Linked DNA regions of Arabidopsis thaliana. The protein of the gene in region 2 interacts with the protein of the main gene of each other region in a pairwise test. Each region holds a gene or a part of one and is shown on either strand. Other genes may lie near its edges.

What was found. The genes of interacting proteins can lie anywhere in the genome.
Region 1: the proteins of AT1G21940 (region 2) and AT3G21690 interact in a protein complementation assay, tested with the Arabidopsis thaliana proteins (one large-scale study listed by BioGRID).

Annotation. Positions count from the first base shown.
Region 1 is NC_003074.8:7,636,940-7,642,926, forward strand, and holds AT3G21690 (MATE efflux family protein), read left to right. Parts: upstream 1-1,644; 5' UTR 1,645-1,810; coding exon 1,811-2,131; intron 2,132-2,255; coding exon 2,256-2,887; intron 2,888-3,854; coding exon 3,855-3,911; intron 3,912-4,133; coding exon 4,134-4,372; intron 4,373-4,466; coding exon 4,467-4,585; intron 4,586-4,678; coding exon 4,679-4,765; intron 4,766-4,856; coding exon 4,857-4,922; 3' UTR 4,923-5,450; downstream 5,451-5,987.
Region 2 is NC_003070.9:7,714,620-7,718,836, reverse strand, and holds AT1G21940 (uncharacterized protein), read left to right. Parts: upstream 1-1,861; coding exon 1,862-2,021; intron 2,022-3,275; coding exon 3,276-3,667; downstream 3,668-4,217.

The sequences.
Region 1 (5,987 bases), on a different chromosome or scaffold from region 2:
TACAAGTTGCAGCTATTACTGATAAAACGTAGCTACTTTTTTGGTTGGGTTTATTTGAGCCAAATAACTTCATTAAAAGCTGTAGTACCAAGTTTGGGTCTATCATTTACACTGCTATTGTCTTTGCTATATGACTCGAATCTGATACATTCGATTTCTAAAGATTATATCTAATTTTTAAGCGAATTAAACTTTTGCAAGCTTGGTTTTGATCTCTACTATTCTATTGACTAGAGAAGATGTCATAGTTGGGTGTAGAATAAGGTATTGAACTGACTTGCTTTTATTGATTCATTAACTATGGTATTTATACACAATGATCTCTATCAAGAGATAAACATAAATCCCTAAAATATAGGTTAGAAACTCTATCATCAAAGATATTGTACTAATCCTAATCGGATTACACATATCTCCAATAGAGTTGATATCTATTAACGGCAAAAGGAGCTAAGCTGCCATGATGACCCATGAAGTATATGCCTGCATGCTAATACGCAGAAAAACATTGAATGTGAAAGTGGCAATTATTCGAACACTCAAATTTTTTTATCTTCCTAAAATCGTGCTCGTGAAGATTTTTCAAAACAACCGATATAACCATTGGTGTTTAGTTGTTTACCTTTCTTTTTATTGCATACGATAGCCCATTCTTAGGAATTAAACCATGGGGGCAACTGGCAAGCATTTATAATCATTGATGTTACTTTAATTTTCATTTAATATGAATATTAAACGTAGTAGCTATATCATTGGGTTGGAATTAATGACTGAGAAAGAATGAATGAAAGAGAGAAACGTGTACTCGCAGTAGACCATATAACCATTGGTGAACAATTTTATTTGGAATCGTATCCATAAATATCATTTTTATACTAGTACGCTTGCTTTTACGACTACTATACCTTGTGTGGGCGGACCAACAATTTAAGAAGGGGGTGTGGGTGTAACTGGCCCGGTAAACCATAATTTTGTTTTGGCCATGTACAAAATGAGTTTTTGGCATACGGTGTTTTGTTGTATTTGAAGATCCCACTCAATATCATTTTTTTTTCCCCAATTTGATTAATCATTTGCTTTCTTGAAAGATTATTTTCCTTATAAGGATAAGAATAAACAGTTTCCTTTTTCATGGAACAAATTTTTCATGTTTCAAAGATATTTTCATTTTGTCTGAAGTATCAAAACAGTTTTACATTATTATTTGTCTTTTTCTGTTCAAAAAATTTAAGCAAATTAGTATATAATAAATAAACAGATTTGTGTATAGTATTGAAACCTATATCCATGAGCAAATGTGTGGTATATAAATTAGATAACAATTCTTTTTTGACATCATATAAATTAAATAACATTGAATTTGAAATTAATCACATTTTTAAAATGTGATTGTACGTTATTTATTCTTTAAAATTATGAATACTAATTAACCAATATATGTCATCGAAATAACTCAAAATATTGTAAAGAAAACTATTTGCATTTTACATATAGATATCTTGTAAAGTTAATTACGATATCCATAGAAATGTTATACAATCTTTGACTAAAAACGAAAGAAAGAATTCTAATAATTAATAACCTTTGGTGTTTTTAATGAGAGACGTGGACTCTCTCGGTAGAAATAATACAATGATTAACATACAAATTTGTAACTATCATTAGCCGTCACTCGCCACCCTCGATAGGACCTATATACACTTATACACAACACTAGCCACACACATCCTCAAGCGATAACACCACAAACAAAACAACAAACCAAAAAAAAAAAAAAGAGAGAGAGAGAGAGCAAATCTCCATCATCATCATGGACTCGTCTCCAAACGACGGCGTACACCAACCGCTTCTCCATCCTCAACCATCTCCATCTCCGCCGGAGTCAACCAACGGCGAGCTAGAAACTGTCCTCTCCGACGTAGAAACTCCTCTGTTTCTCCGCCTACGTAAAGCCACCATAATCGAATCAAAGCTTCTCTTTAACCTCGCTGCACCAGCCGTCATCGTCTACATGATTAACTACCTCATGTCCATGTCTACTCAAATCTTCTCCGGCCATCTCGGTAACCTCGAACTCGCCGCCGCTTCTCTTGGTAACACCGGTATTCAAGTCTTCGCTTACGGTCTCATGGTAACAACCAAAAACTCCTCTTCTTGTATATATTTTTTGTATGAATGTTACGTTTTATATCATTTTCGTCTATATGCTATGTTTTTTTTCACATCTTTAAAATTCGAGTTTTTTTCGATGATAGCTAGGCATGGGGAGTGCAGTGGAGACGTTATGTGGTCAAGCGTACGGTGGTAGAAAATACGAGATGCTTGGAGTTTATCTCCAAAGATCAACCGTATTACTAACACTCACCGGCCTCCTCCTTACTTTAATCTACGTTTTCTCCGAACCAATCCTTCTCTTCCTCGGTGAATCTCCCGCAATCGCTTCGGCCGCATCGCTCTTCGTCTACGGTCTTATCCCTCAAATCTTTGCCTACGCAGCGAACTTTCCAATACAAAAATTTCTCCAATCACAAAGCATAGTAGCTCCAAGTGCTTATATCTCAACGGCTACGCTCTTTGTTCACCTTCTTTTAAGTTGGCTCGCGGTTTACAAGCTTGGTATGGGACTTCTTGGTGCGTCGCTTGTGCTTAGCTTGTCGTGGTGGATTATAGTCGTGGCTCAGTTTGTTTATATTGTGACGAGTGAGAGGTGTCGTGAGACGTGGAGAGGTTTTAGTGTTCAAGCTTTCTCGGGTTTGTGGAGTTTCTTTAAACTCTCCGCCGCTTCTGCCGTGATGCTTTGCCTTGAGACTTGGTATTTTCAGATTCTCGTTCTTCTTGCCGGACTTCTCGAGAATCCTGAACTTGCTCTTGATTCACTCTCTATTTGGTAAGTCCTATTTTTAGTCAAACTCAATTTAATTATTTCCTTTAAAATTTATTTTTACTAGTTAATTTCGTTTACTAAATTAATTTCACCTATTGACCATAAAAAATAATAATTTAAGTTTATCTATTCTAGTGTTTTTGCCTCTTTGGTTTCCATTTTACCTATTCTAGTCTAATTTGTCTTCCACATGATATTTTATTTATGTTTTATCATAGGTAGTAGTTATTGGTTTCTACAAGAAAACACTTTTTTATATATCCTGAAACTCCACGTGAATATGTATGATTATAGACTTTTCCATGAATTTTTCTAGTAATGATTCGACAAAACTTTTAGTATTATTATTATTCGATATGAAAAGCATAGAACAAAACTTTTTGTAGGGAGTACAAAGCAAAGTTTGGTTGTAGATACTAGATATGAAAGTTAAGTTAATGGCGAACAAATTTGACACTTCTTCCGCTACAGACAATCTATGGTCACATCACATTTCTTCTTTTCAGTCTTCTCGTTTTGGTTTTCTTTGGAATTTGTTTTTGTCTTCTTCTTAAGCAGTAGAATTTAACTTTAACAATTTCTGTATGACCATATGAAACTATCTCATATGGAATCGAATAAAACATTATTTCTTCGTCCAATCTGCATCTACTTCTTTATTTTGTCGAAGATATTATACAATATTCTTCTAGTACTAATTAGTTTAAGATTTATCTGAGTCGTAAGTACTAGATTTTTTAGGTTTTCCAAAAGTTCTCTTTCCTCTGTTACCAAACAGAAGCAGCCACCAAATTTAGGTAGTTGCCCCAAATCAGTATGGAATTCCCATCTTTATAATATGATATCTTTGATTTTCATGTCAAGTCAAAAGTTACAATTTTAAAATGTTGTAAAAACATTACAAGCAACAATGGTTTCATACTAGCTTTTGATAGTGTACGATATTAAATTATTTGTTTTTGTGTTACAGCATGACGATTTCAGGGTGGGTGTTCATGATATCTGTTGGATTCAATGCAGCGATAAGGTCTGTTTTGTCCCAACTCACCACTTGCATGATCGTTTTCACTAAATTTAAATCATATAAAATAGAAAACGTCTCTATCCAATTTACCTACCCCCATAAAAATATGTGGATTCTTACATTTTACACACTTAAATAATGCTAAATCATACTGAACCATAAGCTCTTTTTCTCCTATTAAATCTGATGAAGTGTGACAAAAATTGTGTTATGATGTTGATACAGTGTAAGAGTGAGCAATGAACTTGGAGCTGGGAACCCTAAATCAGCAGCTTTTTCTGTGATCATCGTTAACATTTATTCGTTAATCACTTGTGTGATCCTAGCCATTGTTATTTTAGCGTGCCGCGATGTTTTAAGCTATGCTTTCACTGAGGGTAAAGAAGTCTCGGACGCTGTTTCTGATCTCTGTCCGCTTCTTGCCGTAACACTTGTCCTTAACGGAATCCAACCTGTCCTCTCTGGTAAACCCTTCTGATCGATACACCGCAATTTCGCAAACCGAATAAGCGAAGATTTTTTTTTTTTTTTTGAACAATTGGGAAAATTTTATTATAGGTGTGGCGGTTGGATGCGGTTGGCAAACGTTTGTGGCGAAGGTTAACGTTGGATGTTACTACATTATTGGAATTCCTCTTGGGGCTCTCTTTGGGTTTTACTTTAACTTCGGTGCCAAGGCAAGATAGTTTTCTTAACTTTCATTTTAATTAGTTACCATTATTCTTGTATTGAATATTAGAATAACAAATTTAAGGCTAATGATGCTATAGGGTATATGGACGGGGATGATCGGTGGTACGGTTATACAAACGTTTATTTTGGCGTGGGTCACGTTTAGAACAGATTGGACAAAAGAAGTAAGTTTGCTAAACTTTAAGCTGCCCTGTAGGCGCTAAGTGTTTACGTAAATATTTTCATTGATTTGATAGTTATTTTAATTTGTTTCAGGTGGAAGAAGCTTCCAAAAGGTTGGACAAATGGAGCAACAAGAAACAAGAAGTTGTTCCTGAATGATGCAGGTTGATGAAAGTTTGGTATCCAAGGAACCGATTAGATTCATCGGTAAACCGATGCAAATGCTCAAAGTAACATGTGAGCTGGTAAAAAAGGATATGGATCAACCTTTTAAACTTCTACAACTCAATTTTAAGTTTTTTGTGTTCTTGTTTAAAATGTTAGAGGTAGGTTATGTATTTTTGTATGCCAAGATTATAATAGTTACTGCGTTATTTTTTATTGATTTATATATATATGCATGTCTTTGATTGGATAGATCTTAGTTATTTTTGTTACTGAGTTTTTCTTTAGTTTAATGATATTTTGTTAGACTGGAATGCAATTAAAGTTTCTCTCTTTCAGTATGATGCATTTTTGTTGTTGTTGAGAATGTGAAGGAAAATAAGAACTGGACTTCCAACAAAATGGGCAGGGTGATCTATGGGCCTAATATATGGGCCTAAGTAAACTGAAATTACTATACATAAAACAAAGTTTTCACATCATAAAATCAGTCCAGCTCATTTGCGTTGAGGACTTGAGGCACAGAGAAAATTTGGAGTTTTTTTTTGTCAAAGGAGAAATTTTGGAGTTGATGATTCGATATCTGACATAGTTATAAATGTGTATTATCTTGCTCTAACTTTGCTTTAGTTAGTGGCAAAATTTTGATGTAAACAAAAGTAAAATAATCGCCTACTTAACGCATCTATGACATTTTAATATAAGCACTATTTTCATTCGTGTTTAATAAAAAATAACGAAAACGATTGTAAGAACTTCTAAATATTCTTATAAACTACTAGACGAGATGTTATATTTGTTCCATAAAGTTAGAGAAAGGAGCGATTAAATTTCCGTTACACTTGATGTAAACACGTTTTTTCGAATAAATTTTACATTTTATTCAAAAAAAAGAAAAAAAAAAAAGTAAAGAAGAAAAATTCTTGATACTTTTTCTTTTCATTATTCTCATTATAAACCATACAACGAAAAAGGATATAAATAGTAAATACTTGGCCAAGCCAATAATGGCCGTCACGTTGTATCTGTGCCATTTTCTGTCTACACATTTAAGTCTTA
Region 2 (4,217 bases):
GAGGTACCACTTATGATTCTCTTCTTGTTCATCTTTCTTGTAGCTAGCCATTAATAACATGTCTTCTTCTTGAATTTTTTCTTCAACGTAGTTGGCCTTCTCCTCAAATTTTTTGTTGCTAGGAGCTTTACATTCAGAAGCCTAATGTCCAAACTTCCCACAATTGTAGCATTTGACACTTGATTTATCGTATCTTGATTTTGGGTGTCCTTTCCCACGACCTCTTGATGAGTTTTCACCTCTTTGGTTTGTGTTGTCTTCATGTGGCCTCCAACCACGTCCATTTCCATATCCACCACGACCTCGTCCTCGTACTTCACCACCACCTCTTCTTTGGTAACTTTGGCCGTTTTCTTCTTTTGTAATTCGCATATTGAGGACTTGTTCGACGATATCTTCTTTCTTCTTCTTCTTTTCTTCATAAGCTTGTAATGACCCAAGAAGTTGCTCTATTGTCATAGCTTCTAAATCTTTTGTTTCTTCAATGACGGTGACAATATGCTCAAATTTTAGATCCAATGATCTAAGAACTTTCTCCATGATTCTCACATCATCTAGCTTCTCTCCGTTTCTTTTAAGGTTATTAGTAACCGTCAACACTCTTGAGAAGTAGTCGGAGACGAGTTCACCTTCCTTCATTTGTAGTGCTTCAAATTCTCCTCTTAGAGTTTGAAGACGTACTTTCTTGACTTGATCGACACCTTTGTAAGAGGTTCGAAGCTTCTCCCATGCTTCTTTCGCCGACGTAGCTTCAACGACCTTCTCGAACGTATCTTCATCTAATCCTTGATAGATTAGACAGAGAGCTTTCTTGTCTCTCTTTCTTGAGTCTCTCAAACCATCCTTTTGAGTTTGAGAAAGACTACCTTCATTCTCCGGTTCAATGAAACCTTTCTCGACTATCTCCCACACGTCATGTGCTCCTAGGATAGCCTTCATTTGTAGACTCCAATTATCATAGTTGCTCTTTGTGAGCACCGGGACTTGGAAGGGAACATTGTTACTCGCCATCTTTAGGATCTTCAAGTTCTGCTACCACTTTGTTAGAGTAAAATTATTTTAGAGGTAATGGAGAAAGTGTTTAAGTGTTTTGAGAGAGTTTTTTTGGAAATAGAACTTTAATTACTTTGCTTTAAACTTGAAGACAACTTCACAACATTGCAACATTTGAGAGGAGGAGGAGGTATTTATAGCCTCCAAACTACAAAATATCTAAAATATTTTAATCGTAAGTCTAGAGAGTTCTTATATAAGATCTAGATTACATTATTCAAATTATCTAGATTATTCTATTAGAGTATCTAGATTTTTATGTTTAAGGAGGTGGAAGATGATTCTACAAAATTTCTAGAATCTTTTAAGGAGGTGGAAATGATGATATTTCTAGAGAAAATTCTAAAACTTGAATTTGGCCATAATTAATTATTGGATAATTGATCCAATAATTAAACTTGATTCAAAATCAAGTTTAACTTTCAACACAGTCATCAAGACTCACGTCCCGTTAGAAAACGTACGATTACTATAACCAATTAACCATGGTCCACGGTCAAACTTTAACCGTGGTTAATTTAAATAAAAGAAACATTTTATGCTTATAAACTCCAAAAACCCTTATTATATAGATTTTCTCTCCCGAATCTGTTTTCATTTTCACAATCTTCGTCTCAAAATCTTGTTTTTCTTTTCTCCTGCAAGAATCTCTCGCCATGGAAGGAGTTGTTGAGCCACGTGAAGAGAATCGTGACAGGGACGTGAAGAGCTTCGTAGATTGAACGGTCGTTTTGTCGTCGCAGTGTTGCTTGAACTGTCCACAAGAGTCTGCAAAAGAGCAGCTGCTGGCTCAGATCCAAACCCGACGATGACCGGACACGTGGCGTATTCTTGGGCGATGGAGTTCAACTTGTGGGCGCATCTTGCTTTTATGCTTGTGATTCTCAAGATCATTGTTGCTCCGATGGTGGTGGAACTGGAACAGATGAGAAAAGTACGAGAAGAGTGTGACGTGCAGCTGCTCGTGGGTTTGATTTTTGTCGTCCTCACGATTGCTTTCTTAGCGTACCTTCGCTGCTCCGTCACCGGGTGAGTGGTGTGTCTTGAGTTTCTTCCACCGTTACTATGGACCTGTGTCTTTTAGTGAGACCATCGACGATGCTTACATTTATCATCTCTCTTTCTATCTACAATCTAGTTTTCGTTTTTTTCTTTCTTTGATGGGTTTGTTGTTTTGAACATTATGGTTTCTTTGATTAGAGGTTTGAATATTTGGACCTGTGATCGTTCAGTGAGACCATCGCGGATGCTCTGTATCTGCTTTTCGTTTATTTCTTTGGATTTGTGTTGTGAACATTTTGGTTTCTTGAATAAAAGGTTTAAACAAGATTTTCTGAATATTAATTGATATTGTAGTTACAACTTGCAATATTTATCACTTCATACTGTATTTGCATAGATAAAAATGCGTTAAAGTTTCGGATCGCATCCCTGAATACAATAATTAGTTTTACAAAGAAATCGATGTGTGTGTGAACCGTTTATGATATCGGATTAAGACTAATTACTTCATGTTCTTGATGATAGTTTCAAATTTTAGCTCAAAATGTTTAAGGAATTAGCTGCAAAATGCAGTCATGAACTGTTTTTTTATCAATTAAATTTACATAAGATCAATCCATTGTTCAACGTGTCGTAATCAGGCAACTGCTTTAACTTTTGTTTACCCAAAGTAGTAACATTTTAGAAAAACCGATGAATAAAACTTAGTAAAAAAGACCATATTTAACCCTTAACATTTTTTTTTGTTCAAAATTTCACAATTATCTAACAATATAAAATATTTCTAGTCTTTTTATAGGTAGTTATATGATCAAATACTAAACCATGCAGATATTTTTGGTCCCAATTCTGTGTAACCAAAATTGTCAATTTCCGGTTCAGCAACGAACGAAATTTTGTAACCAGTAATTCAAGAAACCAATTTTTAACAGTGACCAAAAGAGGTAAGTCCTTCGTCCACTCAATATCATCAGTCATCACCTCTCTCCTTGAAACTTTTTCAACACGTACGGATTATAAACCATGGTTAGAGAAAAAGCAAGGTTAAAAAATAAACTATGGTCCATGGTTAAAATTTTAACCATGGTTAGGTTATAAACCCTTCTTCTTTCCCTCTTTAACAAACTCCAAAACCTCTCAGAGACAAATTTTCTCACTTTTTCCCGGATTCTGATTTTTTCATCAATCATCGTTTCAAAATCTCCATTTTCTCCTGCAAGACTACGAGATCGCAATGGATGACGAAGATGGAGGTCGTGAGAGAAGAGAAGAAACTCGTCGTGTAAACGATCGTTTCTTTCTTGCAGTTTCGCTCGCCATTTTCACCGGAATCTGCAAACGAGCTTCTGGTTTCGACGGTTCATATCTAACGGAGACGACGAAGAACGGACACGTGGCGTTATACTGTGCATCAGAGCTGAACAAGATGGCCGATATGTGCTTTATGGTGGTGATTATCAGAATCGGTTTATCGATGCTTGGACTCACGTTTGCGCCGGTGGTGATGCGTAGACTACGAGAAGAGACGGACATGAAACTTACGTTGGGTTCTATCTGCCTAGCGATTTCGCTCTGCTTCTCCGCTTATCTTCGGTTCTTCGTCGTCGGATGAGTTTGTGTTCGCCGGAATCTTCCCTGTTAGAGTAAAATTCTTTTAGAGGTAATGGAGAAAGTGTTTAAGTGTTTTGAGAGAGTTTTTTAGGAAATATAACTTTTATTACTTTGCTTTAAACTTGAAGATAACTTCACAACATTGCAACATTTGAGAGGGGGAGGAGGTATTTATAGCCTCCAAACTACAAAATATCTAAAATATTTTAATCCTAAGTCTAGAGAGTTCTTACATAAGATTTAGATTACATTATTCAAATTATCTAGATTATTCTATTAGAGTATCTAGATTTTTATGTTTAAGGAGGTGGAAGATGATTCTAGAAAATTTCTAGAATCTTTTAAGGAGGTGGAAATGATGATATTTCTAGAGAAAACTCTAGAACTTGGATTTGGCCATAATTAATTATTGGATAATTGATCCAATAATTAAACTTATTCAAAATCAAGTTTAACTTTCAACATTCCCTCTGCTTTCGACTTGGAACGCCGTCGTTTTAGTGAGATTCATCGTTTATCGTTATAATAATCTTTCTTTGTTTCATTAGTTT